Linked DNA regions of Rattus norvegicus. The protein of the gene in region 1 interacts with the protein of each later gene in a pairwise test. Links are inferred from orthologs where the notes say so. Each region holds a gene or a part of one and is shown in the gene's direction. Other genes may lie near its edges. The genes, in order: Rel, Cdkn2c, Acot8, Il36rn, Hdac7, Magohb and Exosc1.

Region 1 (3,500 bases):
TGGCTTACATATCTGGAGTTTCATGTAAATGGGTGGTATAGTGTGTGCTTGTTTTCGATTAGCCTCTTTCACTCAACACACTCACGTTGATAGTTCTATTAATAGTGTTTTATCCTAAGTTGCATGTGTTCAGCATATGAATTACATTTGTTATGGAAAGCAAATGACTTTATTAACTCCACACTGTATGTTACATTCTGGAGGAGATTTAGATAGAACTAATTTGAAACTGTAGTTGAGCCCAAAGTCAGTGTACTGTTTTGGGATATTGCGTACAGATCCTTTGGTGTTCCAGACTTGCCCATACAAGGACATAATAAGTACATTTTAATTTTCAGGGAATGTCCTTTCACGCAGTGGTAGTGTAAAACAAAGCAGTTAGGTACATTTTACTTGGTTTTGGACTATAGTGTATCTCTGAATACTGTGTTCTTCGCCCTTCTTGGGAAATGTTGGGAGAGAAATCTTCTGATTGGCCTCAGGGGGCAGGTGACTCTAAAAGTTGTTACCTGAGAACTTCATGCACTTATTAGGTACAGACGTTAGGCAGCAGAGCACTAATCAGTTATGCGTCACTACTACGTAGAAACTCAGTCTGTACAAGAAAATGGTGTCTTCCTCATTTAACCTTTGATGATTACATTTTTTTAACCTTGTCATTTAATGTGGGGAAGGAAAAAGATCTTTCGGTGTCTGTTTTTTTTGAAAACCAAGCTGTTAAAGTCCATCGTATTACCATTCTAATCTCATCGCCCCGCTCTTTTTAATACTTTCAGGCGGATATAATCCCTACGTGGAAATCATTGAACAGCCAAGGCAGAGGGGCATGCGGTTTAGGTACAAGTGTGAAGGTCGCTCAGCCGGCAGCATCCCAGGGGAGCGCAGCACAGACAACAACCGGACTTACCCGTCTATCCAGGTAATGGGCCTTTCTTCAGGATCTCGCCTTTAGTGCTTCATTCTGTCTTATTGTCTTCTAGACAGGGTCTCTGTGTGGTCCTGGCTATCCTGGAACTCACTCCATACACCAGGCTGGCCAGAGATCTCCCTGCTTCTGCCTCCCTCCCAAGTACTGAGTTAAAGGTGTGCATTACCACCGCCTGGCTGAAGGCTCAGTCAGTCTCTTAACCGTCTTTCGCAAGCCCATGCTCTGGGCCCCCCCTTTTTTTTGTGCTTGTTCTTCATTAGCTAGATGTATAGGGATCTCTTAAAACTGTCGACTCTGTCCTGCTGTATAGTTCATGTATTAATGTAACCGCAGTGATTTGCAGGGCTTATCACACACTGACAGCTTAGGAGCCAATCCCTTCTGTTAACACAAAGCACTTGATGAGGAAAAGGCATTCTTTACGCATATTGGCGAGTGCAGTTAGTGTATATGTTAAAGGTAGATTTGGATCATCTTTTGATATTTTAATCATGCCTTTATAATGATCGCTGAAACTCTTGCGTTATTAGCATCGTCTAAAGTATCACTCTCTCTGCGTGTGTGTGAAGTGTGTGAGCGTATGCTCGTCTTGTGTGTGTGAATGTAGACACTTGGGTACCTCAGTGCCCCGTGGGAGTCAGGACAGTTGGGTGGGTTCTGTCTCATTCTTCTGTTTCCAGACAGTGCGTCTTTGCTGTTTTTCCACTTTAGACACCTGGTCCACCAGCTTCCAGGGTTCTTCTGTTTCTGATTCTCATCTCCTTAGAGGAGTGCTGCTGCTACAGGCTCGAACTGCTGGTCTCTCTCTTTCTTTGACAGACAGTGCTAGGGATTGAACCTAGAATCTTAGGAATGCCAAACAAGTGTTCTGCCGCTAAGATATATATCCCTAGCCTGCAAAAACAGTTTTTGGGTTGGAAATAAATTTAGCAAATGTACTATATTTATTAGGTATGTTTATATTTTATGTTTATACATCATATACACTTGCCTTTTCATTTTTATAATTTATTTATCCATGTTTAGTGTTTTGAAACAAAATTAGCCCCGATCTTGTAGTGACCTCGCCTCCTGCCTCTGCACCTTCATACTGGAATTGTAGACATGGGCAGTCATGCCTAGTTAGTTTTATCGTTTGAGTTCCAATTAAAAACCTGAATGATGAGTTGCAATGGTAGCACGTGACAAACATTTGGGAGGCAAAGCTAGGTAGGTATTGAGTTGAGAACTGCCTGGCTACATAAGAAACTCCAGGCCAGTCTAGACTATTCAAGCCAGACCTTATCACTGCAAACAAATGGAAACAAAGTTACTAGCACATCAGGGGCAGTGTCACCCACCAAAATCTCATCTACTTGGGAGGCCGTGGTGGGCAGATGGATAAAAGGAAGACACTGTCTCAGAATGGATTTTGAGATATGGTTCTTAATATTCCATCCATAGATCTGAAATCACTGTTTTGTGACTAGCTTATTATTTGCAGTTTAATTTTATTGAACCTAAGAAGAATTACAAAATTAAAAAATAAGTCAATTGCCAAGTTGTATATTGATTTCCAAATTTCTGTTTTTATATTTTAACTGATATATATATATATATATATATATATGCTTAAATTATATATGTTAACAGGATGCCATGTAATATATGATACACGTATGCATCATGTAATGCTTCAATCAGGTTAAACACACTTAGCTCCTCAAACGTTTATCATTCCTTGTGGAAACACTCAAACCCTCCTAGTTTTTTGAAATATACTCTGGTCCTATGGATGGTCAGTGCTCTTAGCTGCTGAGCTGTCACTCCAGACCCATAACCTCATGTTTCCAAATCACATTTTTTTGCAACAATATTGATTTGTATTATCTGAATTCTTTTTAGGTGTTCACATGAAAGATACAGTGAAAAGTTAATTTAGAGTTCTATTCTTCCAACCCTGTGAGTCATTTTTGGCTCCTCTTAAGAAATTTTCTGTTCCTAAATTAAAGCATTCCAGAGGAGAGAGTCTTTATCCTTACTCCCCTACTCCAGTGTATCCTGGTAGATCTGGACGTTAGTGCAGGCAGCGCACAGCACATCTGCTGCTGTCTGCAGCATACGACAGACACTGCAGCTCTGGAGACGGTTTTCAGACATGTTTTGAGAGGATGTTTCAGATACTTTGGGAAGGAGGTGCCTCAGAAAGGCAGGTCCAGGTCTTGCTCCGTTTGTGGTCTCACCCTCCACCAAGATCCCAGCTTTCCCCTCACCTATGGTGTGGGTATAGCCAGGGGTGAAATTCAAAACCTACTTCTGTTTTCACCTTCCTTTGCCACAGGATTTTCATGGGCAATGTGGTCTCAGAGAACGCTGGCTTTTTTTTTTTCTTTTGACACTTTTATTTCTCTCCTCCTCCTCCTTCTCCTCCTCCTCCTCTTCTTCCTCTTCCTCCTCTTCCTCCTCCTCCTCCTCTTCTTCTCCTTCTCTTCCTCCTCCTCCTCTTCTTCCTCTTCCTCCTCCTCTTCTTCTTCCTCTTCCTCCTCCTCTTCTTCTCCTTCTTCTTCTCCTTCTCCTTCTCTTCCTCCTCCTC
Region 2 (4,152 bases), on another chromosome or scaffold:
ACTAACTGTAAGCCTTGTCTAAAGTTAATTGTATTTCTCACTTTCCCTCAAGAATAGAAGTTAACATTTTCTAGACCCTGGAACTTTAAGGCTTTGAAGTTGGTCAGGATTTCTTGCAATGCGCTTTCAGTTCTCATAAAACTCAAGTCTACAAGACTTCTCTGCCGTGTAGTTCTGTCAGTCGGGTCCCCTCTGCAGCCCTGGCAGCGACCTGACAGGTGGCAAGGCCTGTGGCAGAGCAAAGGAGTCCAGCCAGAGCGCGCTCGGGGAGGAGGACAGCAGCCCCGGGCCAGGCCACTCGAACTCGGCGAGCCTGGTCGGGGAGCTCCGAGGAAGGTGGAACCGCCCCGCTCCAGCTGAGGAGACAGCCGGAGCGCCCGCGCTCTCCTCACCAGCCAGCAACAGGGCCGCCGAGCCTCTAAGGGCCTCAGCTTGAGCCCCCAGCCTCAGTTACCACCACCCGGGTCTCTCGCGGTAGAGGCTCGGCTTCGCCGACTCCAGCCAGCTCCAGAACAGCAGTCCGGGCCGGGCCGAACCCACCCAGCTTCAGCAGCGGCGACCAGCGCAGCGGGAGGGCGGGCAGGAGCTCCCGCGAACCCAGGCCCAAGGCGGGCAGAGAAGGGCGCGGGGCCGCGAGGGCGGAGCGAGCGCGCCGCGGGCCAATGCGCCGCCAGGGCGGAGGGCGGGGCGTGGGCGGTGCCCGGCCTTCCCGCTCCCGCGGCGCCCTAACTCCGCCGAGCCTCCTTAAAACTCTGCCGTTAAAATGGGGGCGGGTTTTTCAACTCAAAAAGCGCTCAATTTTTTTCTTTTCAAAAAAAGCTGATGAGGTCGGAAAAAAGGGATAAGAAACCGGCACCGTCCCTTCAGAGGCAACCGTAGCAGCAGTTGCTTCAGCGGAAAAAGAAGCAAAGGAGAGAGGAGAGGGAAAAATCCTAAAGGAAAGACGCGCAAGTGCCTGTAGCGGGGAACAGAGCAGCGATCAGAGATTTGGGGGAATCGGACTACAAAAGAAACTGTCAGGCGCGGCTCCCGACCGGCCGGTGCAGTCTGAGTCAGCTCCGGGACTGAGCTGGCTGGCAGTCGCTGTCCTGTCCGCGGCACACATAGGGGCACAGGCCGGAGGACCGCCAAGAACTAACTAACCAAGTGGCACCGGGCACCGAGCTGCTGGGCGGCCGCCAAGAAGTCGGCGGGACAGACTGCGCCCGGGATCTGCGGCGACCGCTCCTACTTCCAAAGACCCTTCCCATCATCGGAGGCGCCGGGAAAATCTGAAAGGGAGGGAAAGACCGCGACAGAGGCGACGGCCGCCGCTCAGCCAGCGCTTGCAGTGGAGAGCTTGAGCTAGCTCGGTCGTAGGCGGGAAGTTACTGGTGAGCTGGCCGGGTGCAGGCGCGATGCTACCGCGAGCTGCCCCAGCGGCTGGAGCCCCATAGACGCTTCCCTCTTCGCCCTACACGGTCCCCAGGCTGCCGGGAGTCCCGGGACCCGGCGGGGCCGGCATGACGGGCTTGGCGGGGGTCTGCCGCACACCCACCAGCCTCCGGAGACCCGCGCCCTGCCGGGCTCCCACGGCCTCTGAGGCTCGGCGGGGCTGCGGCAGCCCGGCCGGCGGGCTCCGGAGGCTCTTCTGAAGACGCCGAGCCCGCTTGGGAGTCGTTGAGACCTGAGAGTTGAGGGCTTCAGAACTGCTGCTCTGGTCTGCCTTCGGCAATCATCTTTAACCCTCCCGAGCACGTCAGCATCCAGCCAGCGCGGCGCTTTGCTAGCGAGCCGCACTCTGGACTACCCCCTTCTGCGAGACGGATGGAAAGTGAGCCCTGCGGAGGACCTGACTCTGAAATTCTGCCTCAAGTCACCACTGTGAACAAGGGTGGGTTAATACCTTTTCTACTCTCCAATACTTTTTCTTTCGCGGTGTTTTCTGAGCTGACCTAGTCCCTTAAGTCTCCGCAACATCCTCCTCACAGAGCTGTGAAGCTTAGGTACGTGACAGCTCTGCCTACATCTCACGTCCATAGTAATTAATCAAGAAAAGCTTCTGTGTATGTATCTCTGTCGAATCGCCAGAGTCCTTCTTAGGGGTTAAGCTAAAAAGCTAGGGAAGGAGCCCCTCTCCAATGGGCTCAGTTTTGCTGAATAATCACGTGTGAATCGAGGGGCGGGCTTTTGGCAGGCCGACCTTACTAGTATTTACTACCAAGCTCTACTCCAGATTAACCATCCCAGTCCTTCTGTCAGCCTCCGATGCCATCATGCAGCCTGATTAGGAGCAAAGAAAAGGGGAAAAAGAGAAGCAACTAATCGTCTTTTCCCGATCGTCAGGACCCTAAAGAATGGCCGAGCCTTGGGGGAACGAGTTGGCGTCCGCAGCTGCCAGGGGGGACCTAGAGCAACTTACTAGTTTGTTGCAAAATAATGTAAACGTCAACGCTCAAAATGGATTTGGGAGAACTGCGCTGCAGGTTGGTATCCAGAGAGGTGGGAAAAACAAGTTAATAAGGTTGCCTGGGCTTCTAAAATGACAGCTTTTAAGTTTGGAGGGGTACAGATCTTCACTGTTTTAAAACCTACATGGTTGCCATATTTTATATCTTTAAGTGGATCCAACTCCCCAAAATGACGTACTTTGGAGAAACTGGTCAAATCCAATAACATCCTCGATATCAAGAGAATCCTAGGTTTGGTCATAATTTTTGGAATGCTTTTGTGACAATGGAGGTTTTAAAGTAGTCTTATCGTCGAAATCTGTTTGTTTTGTGCAGTGTTGTTTTAGATAGCTCTTTAAGCACATTATTGTGATTATTATTTGAAGTAAATACACAGCTAATAGTGGTTTTTCACCTATTTTGATCCTAATCATTGACTTTAAAGTTAATTCTGTTGCCGGTTAGGCAGGGTGTTTTACCTTCAGCTGCTCCATGTCCTAACAAACGACCTTTCCTCGTTTGGTATGGGATAGCCTGGTCACCAGGACAGGGTGTACATTTTCACAGTTAATACAATACCTAATCCACCCATTCAGGAGTGAGGAGAAATTAAAAGGTTGAATTTTCTAATCAGAGCTAAGCAGTGGTGGTTTTATTATCCCTGTGGTCATGTGGTGGTATGCTCTAATTTTCAGTGATTAGATTTACAGGCAACAACTGACACATTTCCAGCTGCCAAATATGTACCTGATATTTTCCCCCTCCAAATGTTATCATGTAACTTTGCTGAAAGGTTTAGAAGCAAAACATTGGGAAAGTGATCTCCACCGGTTGCTTTTATTGGAGTTCTGATAGTACTCCTGGGAGCTTTTCCCATCCAGAAGCAGCTTTTAAAAAACCCACTGGGGTAAAGGCATTAGAGATTTTTGTTTCTGTTTTAAAAATTAGAGATTTAAGTGGCAGGAGATGCCAGAATGGAGAAAGCTCATTTGGTCTGTATAATTTAAATCAGAATACGGCTGGCCTTACAAAAACCTTCTCTGCCGAGGAAGATTATGCAGAAATACTAAAATATTTATCTTGATTTGGGAAGATTAAATAAGGAAAAGGTTTTGTTTTTGTTTTTCTGCTTAGTACTTGTGGACTGGCTTGGTGGTGATAACAATGCCATGAACTCCAGATGCTGAAAGGTTTTCTATTGAAAAGTCACAAAGTAGAAAACATTTCATCTGTGTTCAGAAAAAGACAGCACAGGGCGAGTGGGTAATTAATATAATTAAACTTTGACAAACGTTTAAAAAATAACCACCCAACTTTGCTTCTATTAAACTTAGATAATACCCACTTATTATAGCTTAATATCAAAACATATAATGAAACAGGTACACACAAATATGAGTCTTTTTTCGGTATACATAATCCTGACTCTGAAATTGTGTCATCAGGAAGAAATTTCTTCAAAATCATTTACACTCTCACTTTCTGCCAAAGGTGGCAAATTTTACTCTGTGATTATGCTTTTTACTCAGCTGCAGAAATCTTTTCTCCTTTGCTCTTGTTTTTCAATCAGAATAATCAGAGAACTTCATCATACATTTGCTTTGCGAAGGTGTTTCTTGTTTTGCTCACTTTAAGTCTTTAAATGTGACTAAGGTTTTAGGGAGAGGTGTCAAAAATTAGACTATTAATTTTTAATAACCAGAAAATATATTTCATGGAGATT
Region 3 (3,500 bases), on another chromosome or scaffold:
AGCGTGACTGGCCCGAAACTCACCATTCAGACCAGGGCGGCCTGGAACTCACAGAGCTCTGCCTGCCTCTGGCTCCCGAGTGTTTCGGACTAAGGGCCTGCGACGCCACACCTGGCTCTCTTCTTTATTCTCTTCTAGTGTCAGCACTGCTAAGTCCTCATAGGGCTGTAAACTGCTATGGAGACAGAAGGTAAGCGGTTTGGAAGTTGAGCGTCAGCTTTGTAGTCATGGCCGCGGTGATCTTGAATGAGGTTACTTTCTTTTGCTACGATGGAACTCATCTGTGAAACAGAGGCGAGGCGGGACCAGCGATGTGTCAGTAGGATCTCTTAGACTCTTAAAGCTCTGGGCTCAGAGACAGGGGAGTTCTCATTGCAAACTCTTGGTCTGGACTGGGGACGTAGCTCAGGAGTTATCTGCTGCTAGCAGGGTGGTAGCCTCTTGTGTCCCTGGCTGACCTCAGACTTGCTGTGTAGCCATGGATGTCCCTGACTAACAATCTTCTCGCCTGCGGCTCCTTGGTACGGGGATTGCAGATGCCGCCAAACCTTTGTGCTGTGTAGAACCCAGGGTTCTCTACACATTAGGCAAGTCCTATCCCAAGAGGACCTCGTCCCAGCTTAACCCTGGCCTTCTTATCCTGTGGTTCTTTCAGCTGAGGAGATGCCCCACTGGGTTTTGTTTGATTTTTTTAAGCTAAATTAGCAACTCTGACTTGGAATTCTAATCCTCCTGCCTCAACCCCCTGCATATTGGTATTACAGACTGGTGCCTAAATATATTGATTGGTTTTAGTTTTGATTCTGAAACCAGGGACCACTTCGTTTCAAAAGTAGAATGAGTTGCCAGGCGCACACCTTTAATCCAGCGCCTGGGAGGCAGAGGCAGGCAGATCTCTGTGAGTTCAAGGCCAGCCTAGTTTATAGAGTAAGTTTCAGGAAAGTCAGGGCTATGCAGAGAAACAGCTTTGAAAAACAAAAGAAAACAAACAAACAAAAGAGTAAGTGTGGATCAGCATGGTGGCTCATGCCTTTAATCTTAGCACTGGGGAGGCAGAGGCAGGCAGATCTCTGGGAGTTGGATGCTGTCCTCTACAAAGTTCCAGGGCTACAGTGAGATCCTGACTCAAATAAATTAATTCATTATTTAATCAAAAAGAAGAAAAGAAAAAGAAGAAGAATCGTGTTTCAGTCAGGCAGAAGAGACTGGTATTTATACACAGAGAAAGGCTAAAAACAGGAAGCGAGTTGGCCGTCTCACTCTTGTGGGGCTGGAGGTGCATTTCAGTGGCAGGGCACTGGTCTTAGCGTGCATGAAGGTGACCCTTTTCAGCCCCAGACAGCCAGGACTTGGTGAATAACTGACAGACTAACCAACAGCTCCCCTAACTTCACCAGTTTCTGACTTTGTACCAAGTGGAGAAAGCCAAATGTGTGTCCCTAACCAATTCCATAAGTGTCCCCTTCTCTGTGGTTCACCTGCTCCCCAGGCCCACAGTCTCCAGTCTGGGCACACCCAGCACGTCCTCTGATCTCTGCTGTAGACATGGCCCACCATCATGCCTGTGTGGGTCTCTGGCAACAGCACGTGACAGCAACACATTGAGAAGTCTGTCTTTGAGAAGAAAAGAAGATGGACATGATAGCTCACACCTGTAATTCTAGCATTTGAGAGGCAGAGGCCAGAGGATTGCCCCGAGTCCCAGGTCAGCCTTGGGCTATAGAGTGAAACCCTGTCTCAAAACAACAAAAACCCCAACCAGCCAACCAAGAAATTAGGATGAGAGGAACAGAGGTGGTGTTTTACTAACTGTAACGAGGACGACCCATGGATTTACTTAGGGTCATTGTATCCCTTATGCCTACTGCAGGGGACCCAAAGGTGCCAGTGCTGTACCATGTGGAGAGGACACGAACAGGAGCAAGCTTCTCAGTGCGTGCAGTGAAGGCTGTGCAGCATGGCAAGGCCATCTTCATCTGCCAGGCCTCCTTCCAGCAGATGCAGCCCAGCCCCCTGCAGCACCAGTTCTCCATGCCCACTGTGCCCCCCCCAGAGGAGCTGCTGGACCATGAGGCCCTCATTGACCAGTACTTAAGGTGAGGCCAGAGGACTCCAGAGAGCTGGTTGTTGTTGTTTACTTTTTAAGTTTCTTTTATTCTTTAGTTTTTATGGTTCTGTGGATCACACCTAGGAGCCTAGTGTGTGGTAGGTATGTTCTGCCACCCAGCTACACCCCAGACCTTAAAAACATTTACTACCTTGACCTATAGTAGAAACTACATTTAGGCCCCAGGCATAATCTGCATGCCTTTAGAGACAGGCAAGTCTGGGAGAATTCAAAGGTAGCCTGGTCTACATGAGGAGGCCCAGCCAGCCAGACCTATAGAGAGAGATCGTGCCTTTAAATAAAACAGTACTCAGATGACTAGATTTAGATGCATTCTGATATTTCTATACTACTCTCCATTTCATTTTAAAAAATCAGTATTGTGTGTGTGTGTGTGTGTGTGGCGTGTTTGTGTATGTGCATGTGCAGGCCACAGCATACGTAAGATATGTTTGTTGTGTTTGCACGTGCACACCACAGCATATGGAGGACAGAGGATGACTTTGTGGAACCCTCTCTCTTCTGCCCTTACCTGGGCTTGGAGGGTGGAACTCAGGTCCACAGGCCTGTAGGCCATCTCACCTGCCCATCGATTTAAATTTATGTATTTACATGTGGGAGTGCTCTGCCTGCATGTACACCTACACGCCAGAAGAGGGCATCAGATCCCTTCGTAGATGGTTGTGAGCCACCATGTAGTTCCTGGGAATTGAACTCTTGACGTCTAGAAGAACAGCCAGAATTCTTAACTGCTGAGCCATCTCTCCAGCCCACTCCTTTATTTTTAATTAGTGTATATTGTATGAAGTCATGGATTTCATTTTGACAGCTTTATGCATGTGTATAATGTATTTTTATTATATGGCCCCGCATTAGCTTTCTCGTCCCTTTCTTATACAGTCCCAGGGCAGTGTTTTCAAGCTCTGGCTCCTACTCATTAGTGGGCCAGAGAGCCTCTAAGTGGGTCTTGACTATGGACTAAAAGTATAAACTGGGGGGGGGGGGGGCTTGGGGATTTAGCTCAGTGGTAGAGCGCTTGCCTAGGAAGCGCAAGGCCCTGGGTTCGGTCCCCAGCTCCGAAAAAAAGAACCAAAAAAAAAAAAAAAAAAAAAAGTATAAACTGGGTCCCAGCACTTGGGAGGCAGAGGCAGGTGGGTCTCTGTGATTCCCAGTTTAGCTGGGGCTACATGAGACCCTATCTCAGAAACATGGGGGATGGCTGAAGAAGGCTCAGCCATTAGGAGCACTTGCTACTCTTGCAAAGTGTGGGTTCCAGCACCCACATGGTGGTCCATAACCACCTCTAGTTCTTCTTCCAATGGCTTTGACACCTTTTTCTGGCCTCCACAGCCAGTAAACACAAATGTGCACATGCATGCATGTAGGTAAACAC
Region 4 (4,109 bases), on another chromosome or scaffold:
TACCAAGCTATTAAGAACAAGGACATCCTGGATTTTGCAGGCAAGTGGATGGAACTAGAAAATATCATCCTGGGTGAGATAACTCAGACCCAAAAGGACATGCACAGTATGTTCTCACTAATAAGTGGATATTAGCCAAACAAAAAAAAAAAAAACAAAAAAAGTACAGACTACCTAAGATACAGTCCACAGAACTCAACAAGGTCAACAAGCTAAAGGGTCTAGGTGAGGATGCCTCAGTTCCACTTGGGAGGCAAAGGGGATGGGGGTGGGAGGGAAAGGGGAACATGATCTGGTATTGAGTGAGGGAAAAGGACTGAAGCCCTGAGGGCCAGCAGAAAGAATAGAAACAGGTGACCTCGGGAAGAAGGAGGTTGGGAGGAATGTACCAGAGACCTGGGAAGTGAGGGACTCTCAGGACCCTAGATGAAATGCCCTACTATGGGGAAAGGGAGCTTATTGAACCCACCTTTAGCAGAAAAACAGGACATCAAGTGAGGGATGGGGTTGCTATCCTACAGTCTGGCTTTTTTTAATGAAACAATATTGACTTCTCTGACAGATAGGAACAATCTTGCTTAAACTTTATTTTGCCTATAGGCTGCTTCTTCCTAAAACTGTTTTGTTTTTGCAAATATTATAGTGTTGTTTCTACTTAGTCAAATAGTAGTCCATCTAACAATTTTATGTAAGGCAGCTTCTACATTCAATTTACTTTCCTGAAAGACATTTGCCACAGTAACAACCAATAGTTTGCAGGAAGAATCAAAACTTGAACATTTTTGTTATGCACTGATGCTTACCTTTAATTCTGTTAGTTTATAGAGGTATTAAAAACATATCAGTTATTTTATATAATTACATATTGTTTTACTAACCAAGTATTTAAGACAGGCAAAGTATATAATTGTGGCAGTTTGTCACACATAGTATTCTATAGCAAAAGCAAACAAGCAAACAAGCCCAGCTTCAGGAAGGATCAATAAGATAAGTGGATGAGTAGAAGACTAGAGCTATGTACACTTACATGTTATTATCATGTTTGGTATAGGAAGATATTCTGCTAAAGATGTGGGTTAAAAAAGTATACTTTCTGTAGTGTTGCTGAATGGAAAGTTGCCTGTGGTTAAATGTGTTCAAAGGAAAAGGTATTGGCACTTTCTGTAATGCATCCAAAGGCAAGTCAGCATGCATATTTTTCTTTATTGCTTGTCTGGATTTTCTGGTTTTTCTACAACTGTTGCCTAAACATTCCTAAGCAGATCTCCGCCTCCAACAGCTCCATAGGTCTGGCAAAGGCAGGAAGAAGGGACTGAAGGAAGGGAAAGAGAAAGAGAGAGAAGAAAGAAGGTTGCTCTGACTTTCTGGATCTACTTTCTGAAGTAGCTGAGTGTACCTGGAGAATTGGAAAGGCCAGAGAAAGTCCTTCTGAATCTTTGGAAGAAGGCTGACTGTTGAAGCTTCCTTCATTGAGAGATAGGTGAGAACGACAGCAGGTGCTTTTGGAAGTTTGGGATGGTGTGAAACCATTCTGGGAAAACCTGCTCCTCCCTAGTGAGTTTCAGGCTCCTCCCTGGATCATTAGTGTATTTCATGTACTTAAAGGACCACGGCATCTTGGAGAAGCAAGCAGTCATCCACAGGCTCCTATCTGGAGAAAGGGGAGATCTGATGGATGCTTTGTGGGGTCTTTCCTAACTTCCAGATCCAGAATCTCCTCCTTCACACAGGCTGTTCACAAACTGACAGACTCTGGAGCATGCTTTCTACTCAAGCCTCCCTCAGATTTTCCAGATTTGCCTTTGCCTAAAATTTCCTGCTGTTTGTTTCAAAATAGGGTCTACATATCGTGGAGCTCATGATGGTTCTGAGTGGGGCACTATGCTTCCGGTGAGTATTTGGTCATCTGATTTGGTGGTGTCCTCAGAAAAGTGACTTTCAAGTAGACAAGAAGGACTGTTCTCTCATCTGGGCTATCACAGGTAGCTAGGAAGATAGGATATTTTTTGGAATTCTTTTGACCTTCTTCAGACTGGGAAAAACTAAGCAGGATCCTCACAGGTTCCTGATTCTAAGAGTGTGGAATGGGGGATGGGACAAGTAACTGGTTTAGCGCTGCAGCCTGTCATCTTTGGTGAGCAGAGTCAGTGTCCCTTAGAGAGCTCCACTATTGCCTCCATGATGATGAATTAGCATCAGTCCAGACACTGTACTAATTTCTCCATGATCCTTGCTGGAGATGGGAGTAACAGTCCCTCCGTGGGATGCACTGAGCTCAGCATCTTACTACAGATTTTATAGCAGCAGATGACAATGCTCCTTACTCTCACTGGACTCAGTTTATAACTTGTCAGCCCTCTGTATCTGTGGTTTCTACAATCACAGATTCAGCAAACTGATTGAAAATATTAGGAAAAATTGCATCTGTGGTGCGCATATACAGACCTCCCAGTTACTCTTCCCATAAATAATACATTACAGTTATATAGAAATGGTTAGTGTATTCAGGAGGATAGATATCAGTTAGAGGCAAATACTACAGCCATTTGATCTAATGGCCTTAGCACCTGTGGGTTTTAGTTTCTGCAGGGGTCCTAGAACCAATTCTTATGCTAACAAAGTGTTGGAGAATCTCCTGAAGTGTGTGCTCTGAGGCTCAGCCCCATGAAATGGTTTGTGTAAAAGTGCTCTAAGAATGAGGGTGTGGAATGAAACCTCCTCATCATGTTTGGCTGGGAAGATGGCTCCACAGAAGCAGAAAGACATTCATGTTGGGAAAATGTGACTTCCAGAATGTATATCTTCAGAATCCACATAAAAGTCTAGTGTGTGTCTGAGGCCAACCTCTAATCTTAGCACCTGAATGGAGAGACAGGACATCCCTGGGGCAAGCTGACTAGACTAGTCTAATTGGAAAGATCCAGGTTCAACAAGAGTCCCTGCCTTAGCAAATAAAGTGGTGCAGGGTTAGGAAAGACACCCAACGTGGGGTTGCAGCCTCCATGTACATACTCAAACTTGTGGGCATGCATACACATACACCAACACATATGTGAACATGAAGACACATATGCACACCGTACACATACAGATGCAAAAAATGTTCGGCTAGACATCAAGACAATTTTACACTGCAGAGGTCTATTGTAGAATAAAATTTTCATCTTACAGAATCTCAGAAAATCAGCTGAGAAGTAACTTTGAAAAATAAAACTTAAAAGAAAGTCCCCAGGATAAAATATATGGCCATATGGACTCAAACATGCTGTGAAATGTTCAGTCGGATTAGAAATGAGAGGTAGAGTCAGCAGAACTATGAGTATGAGGCCAACCTGGTCTATAGAAGGAGTTTCAGGCCAGTCAGGACTACACAATGAGATCCTGTCTCAAAAACAAAACAAAAAGGTGAGCATCAGATTTTAATCAGGAAGAGGCCTGGTTGTTATTTAACCCTCTGCTATGGTTTAGCAATGAAGAGAGTCACACTCAGAGCAAAAAGGAATTTTGTTTGTTCCAACTCATATCCAAACCTTCCCAGTAAGAGTTAGCGCAGGTAAGACCCTCTTCTGCTCATAGAGATTCCCGCAGGGGTTAAACATGTCCAAACAACTTTCAGGTCGTAAGACAGGTTTAGGATAAGAAGCCTGTGAATCAGGGGAATCAATGAAGATAGAGAAGTGGTCCTGGCTTTGAAGAGTCTAAGGCTCCAACCCACAGGGGCCCAACAGAGCATATGTAAAAGATTTAATGTGGGGAAGTAACAGACTTCAGGTACAGATGAGAAGAAGGGAGAGAGAGTCAGTCATCTTGCAGAGCTAGGCCTGAAAGTTGCATGACTATGTAACTGTGGAAATAGAGCGAGACAAAGTGCCTGAATTTGGGGGATCCTTCTGGAGCCAAGGCAAGGTAAGACATCCATCTCTATCCTTTATGGAGGCTTGTTTCTTCCTGGTGTTTCAGAATGAAGGATTCAGCCTTGAAGGTACTGTATCTGCACAATAACCAGCTGCTGGCTGGAGGATTGCATGCGGGGAAGGTAATTAAAGGTTGGTATCTATGAGTCCTAGGTCTCTGTACTCTCTTGGGGTATGTGTTTAGAAGCCCTTAAA
Region 5 (3,500 bases), on another chromosome or scaffold:
CCTCACCCTATGGTGACTCTCCTTACCCCTCCTGTGCGGTCTTCTTCCGAGGCTGCTCCTAGCAATCTCTCAAAGCCCACGAAAACTCTTTGTCTCTTCTCCCCAGCTATTGGCTGCTGACGTCTTTATTTACCAATCAGAATTAACTGGGGGGCGGGGTCCCTCAGTGTCTTATAAGTGAGCTCTCTTTGAGGTAAGCAGGCCAACCCACTACAGAGATGTCCTGTGTTAAGTCTCTCTGGGTTTAGGGCATGAACTCTCAAAGGCATAGGAGGTGCATTGGGCCTTGTGAGGAGTAAGAGTACCCAGAAGGCAATGTGCAGCGGCCGTGCGGCAGGCACTGGCCTGGTGTGGATATCAGGTTATCAGAAGCATTTAGGCCTGTGCATAGGGAAACATAGCTCTTCACAGAAGGGTTGGAAAGGAAACGCAGACGTTCACGCGCCTGGAAAAGGCAGCAAAGGAGGTACGCATGTCTGGCTCCCCGGCTGTGGGCTGGTCTCCATCTGTAGCCACCGGGGAGGTCTCCCTGGCGTTCCAGCCCTGGCGTCTGCTTCTTGCAGGGCTGGTCTATGACTCGGTGATGCTGAAACACCAATGTTCCTGTGGAGACAACAGCAAGCATCCCGAGCACGCAGGCCGCATCCAGAGCATCTGGTCCCGGCTGCAGGAACGGGGTCTCCGCAGCCAGTGTGAGGTGAGGAGGTGGGACTATGCAAAATAGGCTGTGGGACGCCTTAGGGCCAGCAAGGGATGGGAGAGTGGGCGATCTGGTGGTGGCCTGGGCATGGGTGAGCAAGCCTTAGGAGCTCTGTGGGCCCTTTCTCAGTGTCTCCGAGGCCGAAAGGCTTCCCTAGAAGAGCTGCAGTCAGTCCACTCTGAAAGGCACGTGCTCCTCTACGGCACAAACCCACTCAGCCGCCTCAAACTGGATAACGGGAAGCTTACAGGTAGGGAAGGGAGACAGATGACATCTGACCCTGAGTCGCCCCAAACTTGCCCATCTCTCCCACTTGTGTGCTCTTGGCCCAGCTGAACCCCTTCAGCTTCCTGGATATTCCCATGCCGGTTGCCGTATCCCCTTGCCCGCAATCCCCGTACCCCCTGTCATCACCCGTCCGCGGTCCATACCTCCATAGTCCTCCCCGTCCCCGTTGCCCACCTCCACCTCCACATCTCCCCGTACTGCCTCTCCCTGCATAGCTATTTATCTTAGAGCATCCGTGTTCCTTACTCACGTGACCTGGGCTTTTCCCCACAGGACTCCTGGCCCAGCGGACGTTTGTGATGCTACCCTGTGGCGGGGTTGGGGTAAGTATGCCTAGAGATCTCGAGTGGGCATTGCCAAGGCCTTTCAGCCTTCGTTCGGTTCTCTCGGCCCATTGCCACCCCTCTGCCACCTGAAACTTGTGGTTCTGCCAGAGTCGGGAAGGCAGGGCCTTTCCCTTTCTGGTCTTCTATCTGGAAGCACCTTGTGATAGGTGTGTCCCAGTACCATAAGTGTCCCATGAGTGTGGAGCCCAGGGCCTCTCAGTTAGAAAGTATTTGGTAGGTGTTGAGTGAGGCTCGAGGTAGGGTCATACTGAGGCTAGACACTGCCCCTTTGATAGACCCCAGGGGTCAAGCATTGGCCATTCCACACTGGCTCTCAGAGTTGGCAGCTCTGCCTGCCCAGGAGTGGGCCTCTCTCAGAGACTCGAGGTGTGCCTTACTCGACCTCCAGACCTCGTGTGGAGCTGTGGGGTACCTCCCATGTACTTAGAGGTGTAGGACCTCCCGATCCAGGACACGGATTTCCAACCCTCTAGCTTTGCTTGCCTCCGCATCGCCTGCTGGGGGGTCTTTCTGCTGCCTCTGACATGGCTCTCCCGTCGTTGTGGTGCCAGGCTAGGTGTGTGGCAGTGAGGTGGAAGCCGAGCCCAGGAGAGCAAGCGGGAGCTGTTAAGGGGACTGTTGGGGAGCCAGCCAGTGCCCTGTTCACAACTCCCCATTTCTTGCCACTTTCTGGTTTTTCCAACTGTTGTTGCTTCTGTTTTCTCCTCCCTCCTCTCCCTTTCTGTCCTTTCTCTCTCTCTCTCTCCAGCCTCTTGCGACTCTTTCTGCCTTCCTCGCCTCTCTCCGTCCGCCTCGCCCTTCCCATCTCCCCATCATGCCCCCCGGCCCCTCCCTAGCCTTGAGGCCCAGGGACTGGGTTTGGGGGGCCTCCCAGCCTGGGCTAGGGGCCCCGTGTGGAAGACAGTGGTGCAGACGGCCCCTCCAGCTCCGACCGTCCCGCAGGGTCAGCAGAGTCAGCTGGGGCTTAAAACCCCTCCCGGCCCAAACCCCAATCCCGCCCAGGTAACGCCATGCCCCCTCCCCTGACTGGGGAGGCAGAGTGCTGGCCACACACGAGCTGGTGCTGGGACTTACACTGGGAAGAAGTTCTCCCGGGACTGGGGGACACAGGAGGCCTTGCCTTTGGGCGGTGGGGCACTGGGGAGGCAGCTTTGTCTGCCCAGCTCCCTGCCCCTGGGGTCCTGGCCATGGGGTGGGTACTGCCTCACTGGACCCCGGCACCTACGGAAAGCACAGGATGATGCAGTCCTGACCCTGGCCCCCACAGGTAGATACTGACACCATCTGGAATGAGCTGCATTCCTCCAATGCAGCCCGCTGGGCTGCAGGCAGCGTCACCGACCTTGCCTTCAAAGTCGCTTCCCGAGAGCTAAAGGTAAGAACTTTAGATGAAAGGCCGGTAAGCTAAATCGTTGGTGCCGGGGTGATGGAAGTGAGTCCACACTCCAAGCGTTCGACTTCCCATTGCTTGTGGGTGTTGCCTCTGGGTTTTGAAAGGGAAATCGGGGCTGGAAGCAAGGTAAGGCAGTTGGTCATCCTGATTTGAAAATCCCAGCCCTACCGCGTACAGCCACAGAACTTGGGTTGTTTAATTCACTAAGCTTTGCTTTCTTGTCTGTCAACTGGGGAGGGTGATGATGTCTTGTGCTCTAGGGATGCCGCGAGGAGCAAATGGAGTATCAGTGATGTACTGGGCACAGGACCAGGCACGTGGTTTTCTCTAGTAGTTAATAGGTGTCACTGTGATGACAGCCAGGAGCTACCAGGGAGGGGTGCTGTGCTCAAGTGCAGCCCATAAGTGATGACAGCAGTGTGGAGGAGAGGTCTGGACGTCTCAATGGTGCACGCTGCTGCCCCACCCCTGCCTTTTAATCCTTAGAGAAGGCCGCTGGGATGGAAAGCAGGCTCTCGGGCAGATGAGGACTGAGAGACGGCTACTGAACTGATAAATGCTTCTCCTCCCCTTTCAGAATGGCTTTGCTGTGGTGCGGCCTCCAGGACACCATGCAGATCATTCTACAGCCATGTAAGCCATTAGCGGGGTGGACCTATGTGGCGTGAGGTGGAGGCAGCCCTCCGAAGCCCTCCTGGAGGCGGAGTAGCAGGAGGATGGGCTGGCAGGACCCTCTCTCCTTCCTCCAGGGGCTTTTGCTTCTTCAACTCTG
Region 6 (3,949 bases), on another chromosome or scaffold:
ATCAACCCCCCACCAGAGAGATACATTTTACTTTGTGTCTTAGTCAAGGCTGTTAGCCACTGGATACTGTGAAGCATTATCCAAAGAGACTCTGGTAGATTGTGATCCAGTTGCCACTGAAATGTATCTTTACTCACTTCACCAGTTACAGGAAGTGGAGCCACACCCAACTTTACAATGTGCTTGGAGATCAGAGATACCCACCCTAAGTACAGCTTGTAAACCTTAGTTCAAAACTCAGAAAAATACACACCCATACCATAGGGCAACCAGAAAGTAAAAATGGTTTGCATATGTTCCTCCCAAGCCCATTTAAATAACTAGAAGCAAACAAAGAAAACCCCAAGCTATTTGTTCTTTTCTAAAATACTGTGAAATATGCAGGAAAATGGACAAATCTGTCAATTATTATAGTTAAGTGAGGTAACCGTGAAGTATTAATGCAAATCTTGTATAGGGATCTTAGCTTTTGTATGCGTGTATTTATGTGCTTGTGAGTATAGGTTATTAAACCTGAGAGGATACTGCGGGTTGGTTAAAGAAATGGAGTGGGAAGAGTAACAGGATGCATTTAACAAGAAAGTGCAGCGGGAATAACTGGGACAGAAGAATTGGAGACAGTATATGAGGGAGAGGTGTATGGAGTGAGGTTCAATCAAAACAATATACAATGCCACAATGAAATCTGCGACTTTGTACCAACCATCGCGCTCATGCAAGCAATCTTTATAAAACTCGGTGATTCTCCCCTCAACACAGACATACAGGAGATGTAAAAGCACAGGAGGGCTTATTGGTAAAAGCGGTTCTGCAGGAGAAGGGATGGTGGAAGGTAACGTGGTGGGGGCGACTAAAATTCATCATATACGTGTATAAAACCGTCAGAGTTAAAAAATAAATATCGAAGCATATAAAAAATCTTAAAAAAAAAAAAAAAGAAAACAAAGCGCTTGAGATTGTGGTGAAGCGGCTCCAGCGCAAACCTTCAGAACTGAGGGTCTCTCGCTTTGTCTTCAGTTCTCCCGGCTTTCGTTCCCTACCGGAGTAAGCGCGCCCTCGTTGACGCTCTTTGCCCGCGCCTGCGACGTCACTACTCCGCGCCGGCGGCACGTTGGACCGGCGGTATACCGGGCTTTACCGAGGGCAAAAATGGCTTTGGCTAGTGATTTCTACCTGCGGTACTACGTCGGGCACAAGGGCAAGTTTGGGCACGAGTTTCTGGAGTTCGAGTTTCGGCCGGACGGTGAGCGGCGGAGAGGCTGCGAGGGAGGGCGAGCCGCCCAGGGAATGGGTTTCTGTTTTTTTTTTTTTTTTTCCCTTTCTTATTTCAATGTACTTGTTAGTTTTGAGTCAGGGTCTTGTGTAGTGCAGGCTGACCTCGAACTCACGATTCTCTTGCTTCAGCCTTCGGGATAGTGGGATGGCAGGCATGTTACAACGCTCCAGACTCCAGAAGAACCGGTTTGGAGGGTTTCATACCAATGTTGGAAGAGTTTGCTTGTGTAGCACGCCTGCGCAGTGCTTGTAAGAGAAAAAAAAATGCTGTAAAGTAATTCAGAAAAGCGGATCTTGCCACTGTCAGAAAAATTGAACACACAGGAATCGGAAACTTAAGAGCAGAGAACCTGTGCTTCGGGAGTGTTAACAGAATTATCAAAAGACACATACTCTAGCGGATGCTTGTAATCTTTAGGTGGCCTTTTTGGCCTACTCATTCATTCACTATCTGTGTTAAGACTGCTTTGTAGGGGAGGAACCCCGTGTCTGAACACGGGAGTGTGATATGTGTCAGGTTTGAAAGACAATTCTTCACCAGTGGATGATGGACAAAGGTAAGGGAGTCAATGAATGCTCCCAGAAGCTCTTTTTGTGCTGCCTTCTAGATAGTTGGTCAGCTCTGTGTAGATGAGTCTGAATATCTCCTTCCTAGCCACCAGCTGTCAGAACACTTTCAGGTGGACAGTGAATACAAACTTTGTACTTTCTCGGAGAAGCAAATGGCCACAGAGGTAGCTACTGATGCTCTGGGTGAAGAGTGGATGGATGGGTTGTGTGGTCCCAATCACAAAAAGGACTGAGAATGACAAACGGTTTTACCATGAAGCAAGGCTTCTTGACCCAGTGCAGAGTACACCGGTTATTGTTAAAAAACAAAAATGATATTGCTGAACTGAGCCCCTGTCCCTCTGTACTTGGGTCTCAAAGAGCTAGCAGAATCCTAAAGTGTTTCAGTGTCTCTAAAGAAGATGATGTCTGCTCGTGCACCGTTGAAAAGCCCTTGAACAAAGACTGTAAGAAATCCAGGAAGAAAGCACGCAAGACCCAAACATCTAGTTACTTCATATGTCCTGGAACACCACCAACTCCAGTGTATTGTTCTGAAGAAACAATGCACTAAGAAAAATAAAGTAGCTACAGAATGAGCTAAACTTTTGACCTAGAGAATGAAGCTAGAGAAAAATACTTGGAACAGATTTCTAAGAGACGTAGGCTGTCCTCAATGGGAGCTTCTAATTTTGAGTATTAGTCCAGTAAACAATAAGTGTTTAAGAGTAAGAAATAAATGATCAGACCTTGAAAAACAAAAACAAACAAACAAACAAACAAAAAAAACCAACCAAACAACAACAACAAAAAAGGCTTTGCCTGAGTCTTTAATCCTAGCATTCTGGAGGCAGAGTCAGGCAGATGGAGTTTCAGAAAAGCCAGAGCTACACAGAGAAACCCTGTCCCCCGAACACAAAGATTCCCCCTACAAAAAAGAACCTTCCTCTAGAAGATGAGATACTTGATTGAGATAAAAACAATGAACCTTCTTGGTTTCTGGATGAGAGAAAACCCAGAAGAGAACAGAATTAGCAGGGATTTGTTGAAGCCCCTGTGTAGTGTAAGGCAATTCTTACCTGTACCAAGAATTTTTATTTGTGAATGTTCATTGTGTAGTCGGCAGTATATAAATGTCAAAGCCGAAGGTAGTTGGGAGATAAACATTTAACCTACGATAGGATAGTATGGATTTTATTTAAGTGCTTTGTGCAAGTTTTGCACAAGGTTCTTTGAAACGTAAGGAAAGGATCATGTATTCCAAAGGTTTGGAGCGTTTAGGAAGAAGTCAGCATAGCAGTCAGTGTCCTGCCGTTATTTTGAAACTTAATAACTTCAACCTTGTTTTCCAAATTTTGATGTCGTGGCCTGGTCTTTTACTCTTTTATTTTCTCTGCTTTTTTTTACTTATTCCTCTTGTAATTCAGTTCTTGTTCCTCTTGCCTGTGAACAACACCAGCTTGTCCTTATCGCCCTGAGTCACATGAATTAAGAACCCCACGGTATCAGGGGAATCTTAAGTAGAGGTCGGTCCTCATGCATCTCTGCCACCGCATTGCTCGACTCACATGCAAAATCATGAACCACAGAATCTGTCAGTTTGGCAGATGAGAAAGACATTGCAGCTGTATCAGGGCACCTGACTGACAGGGAAGCACACACCAGGGGCTTCAGAGCTTGTGAGGAATGGGTTGAATAAGTCAGCGAACAGGCTTGGCAGTTCATGTCGTTTGCATGCTTCCTAGTTAAAAAAAAATCATTATCTTATCCATATACACTAACATGAAGGGAAAGAATTGAGAGATCATTTTTGGAACTATAGAGAAAGAGTTGATCAAAAACAGACCTTTTGAGACTGTGTGACGCTGCGTAAGTTGCTTGCCTTGATTTTATCTCCTGTGAAGAGGTGAGAAAGTGAAACCCATTCTTAGAATTCCTTTAGAGACCAGGTGAAATATTGTGAGAACAGCACTAGGTACTCACATGACACTAAAGAGAATACTTAGTAGTTAGACACAGTCACTTTGTGCTCAGGGCTAGGTAAGAAAATAAACTGTTTACTGTGCACAACTTTAATCCCCAAACATAGGCAACGAGGCAGACGGATAGATCCCTGTTTGTTCAA
Region 7 (4,112 bases), on another chromosome or scaffold:
CCCCCCCCCCAGCCTAGTGGGATATGAGGAGAAGGAGGAGACTAGAAAAAGATGTAATAAATGGACCACAAGTGAAAAGGTTTTACCTTGGGAAACAGAGAAAAAAAACAAAGTCTTTAAATCTAAATGTGGTGAGAAGTCATGGATGACCTGAATGAACAGAGGAGGGATAAGCCAGCATAGTTCCTCCAAACCCCAAGTCCTGCCACCTCTCAGTAGAATCCACAGAGTACAGTGGCCATCTGCCACCAGAGTAGAGATTAGCAGGCAACAGCACTCCCCTAAATCACCATCTGTATCTCAAAGAAGCCTGACTGACAGGGAGGGAAGGGGAGATAGGAATAAATTCCAGAGCCAAGAGATGAAACTGAGATCAAGTCACGGCAAATTTCATCTGGACACAGCTGCTGCTCCCGTGACCTTTGCCATATCAAGCTGATGTCAAGAAAGCATAATATTCTATTAATGAAGTTGTCTTTCCCGGCTAACATGCTAAAATGGAAGAATGCAAAAGGAATGGTATGTTAACGTCAAGCTGCCCATTCATAGTTAAGGAGCTCACGCTCTAGAGTATCTGCCTGCAAGAGAAGAAACTGTCGTTTTACAAAGCTTAAAAAAAAAAAAAAAAAAAAAAAAAAAAAAAAAGGTTGTGTCTCCAGGTGCAGCAGGGTCCAATTATGATAGGCTCAGGTCAAAAAAAAAAAAAGAAAAAGAAAAAAGGCTTAAGCTTAGTCTGTCTCGAACTATCTACGACACTTTGTACAAACCAAACCTTGTCTCTGGATCTGAGTCTCCAAACTCGTGAAATGGGCGAGTTGGGACTGAGGATGAGTTGGGACAGCCACGCAGGGCAGGGCGCAGAGAGTCCAGGAACTTGAACTTAAGGGCCTGGACACCCGAGACTCGGATGGGGACAAGAACCGCGCCTTCACTCTTACCTGCCTCCTGCCAGCTTCTCAATCAGCTAGATTAGGCCAAGTCTCCCTGTCAGCCACTCACTGCCTCCCCTTCCAGCTCGGGACCCAGGCCGGGCCGAGCTAAGGCTAACCCACCATGGCCCTGAGCCCGCAGCGCCAGCCAGCGGACCGAGACCCGCGGACAGCCCATCACCACCCAGCTGCGCAGGCGCGAGTCTCAGAGCCCGCAAAGTCACGCCCAGAACTCTGTCCCGGGGCAGCCTGGGAAATGGAGTCAGGCTTCGCTCTTACGCCTTGCGCGGTCGAAAGCGCCAATTGGTGCACGCGTAACTGCGAGGCCGCTCCTCTAGTTGACCAATAAGAAGTCGTCTTGGTTCTCATCCGGGTTGTGGACGGTGGCAAGCATGGCACCACCTGTGAGGTACTGCATCCCGGGTAAGTGAGCGGTCTCCGCAGGCAGACCCTGGCTGCGGGCAGCCAGTTTCTGGGAGCTCGTAGCTGAGGCACATGTCTTCTGCAGGCGAACGTCTGTGTAACTTGGAGGAAGGCAGCCCGGGCAGCGGCACCTACACCCGGCACGGCTACATCTTTTCGTCGCTGGCTGGCTGCCTGACGAAGACCAGCGAGAATGGCGCGGTAAAGAAAGCGGCTAGCCAACGAGCGTCACCTCTCAGGCTGCCATCGAGTTCTGGTCCTTGGGCACAGGCACTACCGGGAGGACCTGTCTTTGGTGTCTCAGAGCTTTGGTCTCCCAGCTTCTCCCAGCTCTGATCCCAGCGCTGTGCTAAAACACACCTGCTGCACACCATTTAGGTTGGGCTGGCTTAGTTGTGTAGAGACACTCACAGAAGGAGGTGGAGGGGAAAAGCACGCAAATTTGAGAATAGCCCGGCCAGCCGAGAGCTTCTTCCCGTCATGCATCTCGACTACCTCCGCTTTCTTGTGGCTCTTGTGTCCCACTTCACTGACATCAATGTAGTAATGCTGGAGATTTTCAGTGTCTTAGTGAACTAAACTCTGTTTCGAAGCCTATGCAATGCATGTACTTGTCTGTCTGGAACACACTTCTGCTCAATCCCTTTTGTTTTTTGTTTGTATGTATGGCTTTCCCAGAGAAGCCCTTCTGGACCTGCTGACTGAGAAAATGGGGGTTTTAGTGGCAGTAGGATTGTTGTGCCCAAGAACCTTCCCTGGAGCACTTATTTAAATATGTTACTCATGATAACTAGATTCTTGCCCAAGTAGAAGTTTAAGTGTAGCCATGCATGGTGATACACGAGTGTATTCCCAGCTTCTAACTGACTCAGATAAAGCAGTGGTTGACATTTGTAAGACTATAAAAACTAAGAATTAAACCTCCTCAGGCTGGGCTTGTGGCTCATCAGCACAGCGTTTGCCTAGCTTGGGACCTGGGGAAAAACACACCCTCTTTAGAGACTGGCAAAACCCAAACTTCCCACTTTGTGTTGTACTTATTTGTAAAAAAAATGGGCTCCAGTCTATTGGTTTTGGAGATAAAACTCAGCCTGTCAGTCTACTCACTACATAGATGTCCTGCCCAGTGGTGCCCTTAGTTGCTACTGGGGATAGAGTCCTGAGCCCAATACACTTAGCTTTTGTTACCAGGGAGACAGACACAAACCATGAGCAAATGCACAAACATATCTTCAAAAGAAGTGTGCGGAACAGTGAGAACATGTAACGGGCTGCATGAATTCTAGATAGTGACAATAATATTTCGGCACCTGAAGATAAGGAGAGGTGGAGGAGTGTGGAAAGAATGGATTAGACAGACAACGTGAAATGGGAGGGACTTAGTAAGGTAAGGAAACAGCACAGAGCAAGAGAGGTAAGATAATACACCAGTTGCCATTGGAGTAAAACAAGAGTTGCCATTCTATAGCATTTAATTGCAAATCCTGAAGTAAAAAAAAAAAAAGTTATAGCTTGAAGAAAGAGTCAGGATATTCATAATTATAAGCAATAGGATTTGTACCAGGAAATCCCAAGAGAGTCTTCAGTCATTTACAACTAATCAGAATGATCACATTAAACCTGGCAGCCTAGTTCTAATGGCCTCTGATCCTCTTTATTTCCTAAAATGACTAATGTCCTCTGCTATGGGCTATAAATGAATCTACAGGCTGCCTGCCCTTGTGACCTCGGCTGTTGTAAGATACCCCTGTATTATCCTCAGCCTTCAGTTCTCTTTACCCAGGGCTTACTTAGCCAGTACACTAACCTTCGTATTCTCTCCACAGCTTCCCGTGGTATCAGTAATGAGAGAGACAGAGTCCCAGTTACTTCCAGATGTGGGAGCTGTCGTCACCTGTAAGGTAAGCCGGTCCTAGTCATGATTAGGCCGAGATCCTACAACTGCCGTGGTCCGCTGCTTAATACAGTAGTCCCTAGCTAGAGAAGGGTGTTTTAAGTTTATTACTGCTAGAAGGTCAATCTCAGGGATGGATGTGTTGACTCAGCCTTTAATCCCAGTACTCAGGAGGCATAGGCAGGTGAATACTTGAGGACAGCCTGGTCTATGCAGAGAGTTCCAGGACACCCAGGGCTTCATAGAGAAACCCTGTCTCAAAAAGAAAGAAAAGAATGAAAAATTTATTTTTAGCCAGGCTAAAATATAAAATATCTGTGGTCTCGGTATTTGGATGCTGTTTAGAATTATTGAACAGTAGTCCAAGACCAGAATAGGCTACAGAGTGAGATCCTGCACCCCACAATCCCAACACTATTCACATTTTAAGTACTCGGTAGCAAATTGTGGTTAGTGGCTGCCATACTGGTTGACATATGACTTTAGTTTGGGGGGTGTGGGAAAGTGATGGACTCCCCAGAAGTACGTCTTCAGTTCTAGGAAATGATTGGTTTTGTTTTACCTCATGTGAATAGTTATCTTGTCTGTATCATATGCGTGCCTGCTACCACAAAGCCTAGAAAGGTGTGTCGCACCCCCTGGGACTAGAGGCACAGATAATTATAGGCCACCATATGGGTGCTAGGAATGGAATCCAGGTCCTCTAGAAGAGCAGCCGGTGCGCTTAGCTGCTGAGCCATCTGTCCAGCCCCAGGAAATCACATTTCTGTCATCACAGAAATTTTTGCTGGCAGGGCATAGGTGCACGCTCCTCCAATGGTGCTTGGGAGGCGGGGAATCTCAAAGGGGAGCTAGGCTGCAAGGTA

The links.
Region 2: the proteins of Rel (region 1) and Cdkn2c interact in binary tests that used the Homo sapiens proteins (3 or more experiments, as listed by UniProt). The two-hybrid records come from large-scale screens. The link is inferred for Rattus norvegicus from reciprocal best matches to the Homo sapiens genes REL and CDKN2C.
Region 3: the proteins of Rel (region 1) and Acot8 interact in binary tests that used the Homo sapiens proteins (3 or more experiments, as listed by UniProt). The two-hybrid records come from large-scale screens. The link is inferred for Rattus norvegicus from reciprocal best matches to the Homo sapiens genes REL and ACOT8.
Region 4: the proteins of Rel (region 1) and Il36rn interact in binary tests that used the Homo sapiens proteins (3 or more experiments, as listed by UniProt). The two-hybrid records come from large-scale screens. The link is inferred for Rattus norvegicus from reciprocal best matches to the Homo sapiens genes REL and IL36RN.
Region 5: the proteins of Rel (region 1) and Hdac7 interact in binary tests that used the Homo sapiens proteins (3 or more experiments, as listed by UniProt). The two-hybrid records come from large-scale screens. The link is inferred for Rattus norvegicus from reciprocal best matches to the Homo sapiens genes REL and HDAC7.
Region 6: the proteins of Rel (region 1) and Magohb interact in binary tests that used the Homo sapiens proteins (3 or more experiments, as listed by UniProt). The two-hybrid records come from large-scale screens. The link is inferred for Rattus norvegicus from reciprocal best matches to the Homo sapiens genes REL and MAGOHB.
Region 7: the proteins of Rel (region 1) and Exosc1 interact in binary tests that used the Homo sapiens proteins (3 or more experiments, as listed by UniProt). The two-hybrid records come from large-scale screens. The link is inferred for Rattus norvegicus from reciprocal best matches to the Homo sapiens genes REL and EXOSC1.

Annotation. Positions count from the first base shown.
Region 1 is NC_086032.1:101,911,939-101,915,438, reverse strand, and holds part of Rel (proto-oncogene c-Rel), read left to right. Parts: intron 1-776; coding exon 777-919; intron 920-3,500. UniProt on the Homo sapiens protein: Proto-oncogene that may play a role in differentiation and lymphopoiesis.
Region 2 is NC_086023.1:129,642,092-129,646,243, reverse strand, and holds the start of Cdkn2c (cyclin-dependent kinase 4 inhibitor C), read left to right. Parts: upstream 1-1,352; 5' UTR 1,353-1,873; intron 1,874-2,241; exon of another isoform or gene 2,242-2,325; 5' UTR 2,326-2,336; coding exon 2,337-2,465; intron 2,466-4,152. UniProt on the Homo sapiens protein: Interacts strongly with CDK6, weakly with CDK4. Inhibits cell growth and proliferation with a correlated dependence on endogenous retinoblastoma protein RB.
Region 3 is NC_086021.1:173,955,689-173,959,188, reverse strand, and holds part of Acot8 (acyl-coenzyme A thioesterase 8), read left to right. Parts: exon of another isoform or gene 1-177; coding exon of another isoform or gene 178-190; intron 191-1,870; coding exon 1,871-2,096; intron 2,097-3,500. UniProt on the Homo sapiens protein: Catalyzes the hydrolysis of acyl-CoAs into free fatty acids and coenzyme A (CoASH), regulating their respective intracellular levels. Displays no strong substrate specificity with respect to the carboxylic acid moiety of Acyl-CoAs.
Region 4 is NC_086021.1:27,441,400-27,445,508, forward strand, and holds the start of Il36rn (interleukin-36 receptor antagonist protein), read left to right. Parts: upstream 1-1,309; 5' UTR 1,310-1,480; intron 1,481-1,580; exon of another isoform or gene 1,581-1,605; 5' UTR 1,606-1,733; exon of another isoform or gene 1,734-1,837; 5' UTR 1,838-1,858; coding exon 1,859-1,890; intron 1,891-3,960; coding exon 3,961-4,046; intron 4,047-4,109. UniProt on the Homo sapiens protein: Inhibits the activity of interleukin-36 (IL36A,IL36B and IL36G) by binding to receptor IL1RL2 and preventing its association with the coreceptor IL1RAP for signaling.
Region 5 is NC_086025.1:130,810,018-130,813,517, reverse strand, and holds part of Hdac7 (histone deacetylase 7), read left to right. Parts: intron 1-563; coding exon 564-697; intron 698-829; coding exon 830-950; intron 951-1,261; coding exon 1,262-1,311; intron 1,312-2,083; coding exon of another isoform or gene 2,084-2,337; intron 2,338-2,602; coding exon 2,603-2,710; intron 2,711-3,305; coding exon 3,306-3,361; intron 3,362-3,477; coding exon 3,478-3,500. UniProt on the Homo sapiens protein: Responsible for the deacetylation of lysine residues on the N-terminal part of the core histones (H2A, H2B, H3 and H4).
Region 6 is NC_086022.1:166,770,541-166,774,489, reverse strand, and holds the start of Magohb (protein mago nashi homolog 2), read left to right. Parts: upstream 1-1,149; coding exon 1,150-1,243; intron 1,244-3,913; exon of another isoform or gene 3,914-3,949. UniProt on the Homo sapiens protein: Required for pre-mRNA splicing as component of the spliceosome. Plays a redundant role with MAGOH in the exon junction complex and in the nonsense-mediated decay (NMD) pathway.
Region 7 is NC_086019.1:250,691,949-250,696,060, reverse strand, and holds the start of Exosc1 (exosome complex component CSL4), read left to right. Parts: upstream 1-1,312; 5' UTR 1,313-1,321; coding exon 1,322-1,352; intron 1,353-1,437; coding exon 1,438-1,553; intron 1,554-1,575; exon of another isoform or gene 1,576-1,730; intron 1,731-1,773; exon of another isoform or gene 1,774-2,739; intron 2,740-3,178; coding exon 3,179-3,253; intron 3,254-4,112. UniProt on the Homo sapiens protein: Non-catalytic component of the RNA exosome complex which has 3'->5' exoribonuclease activity and participates in a multitude of cellular RNA processing and degradation events.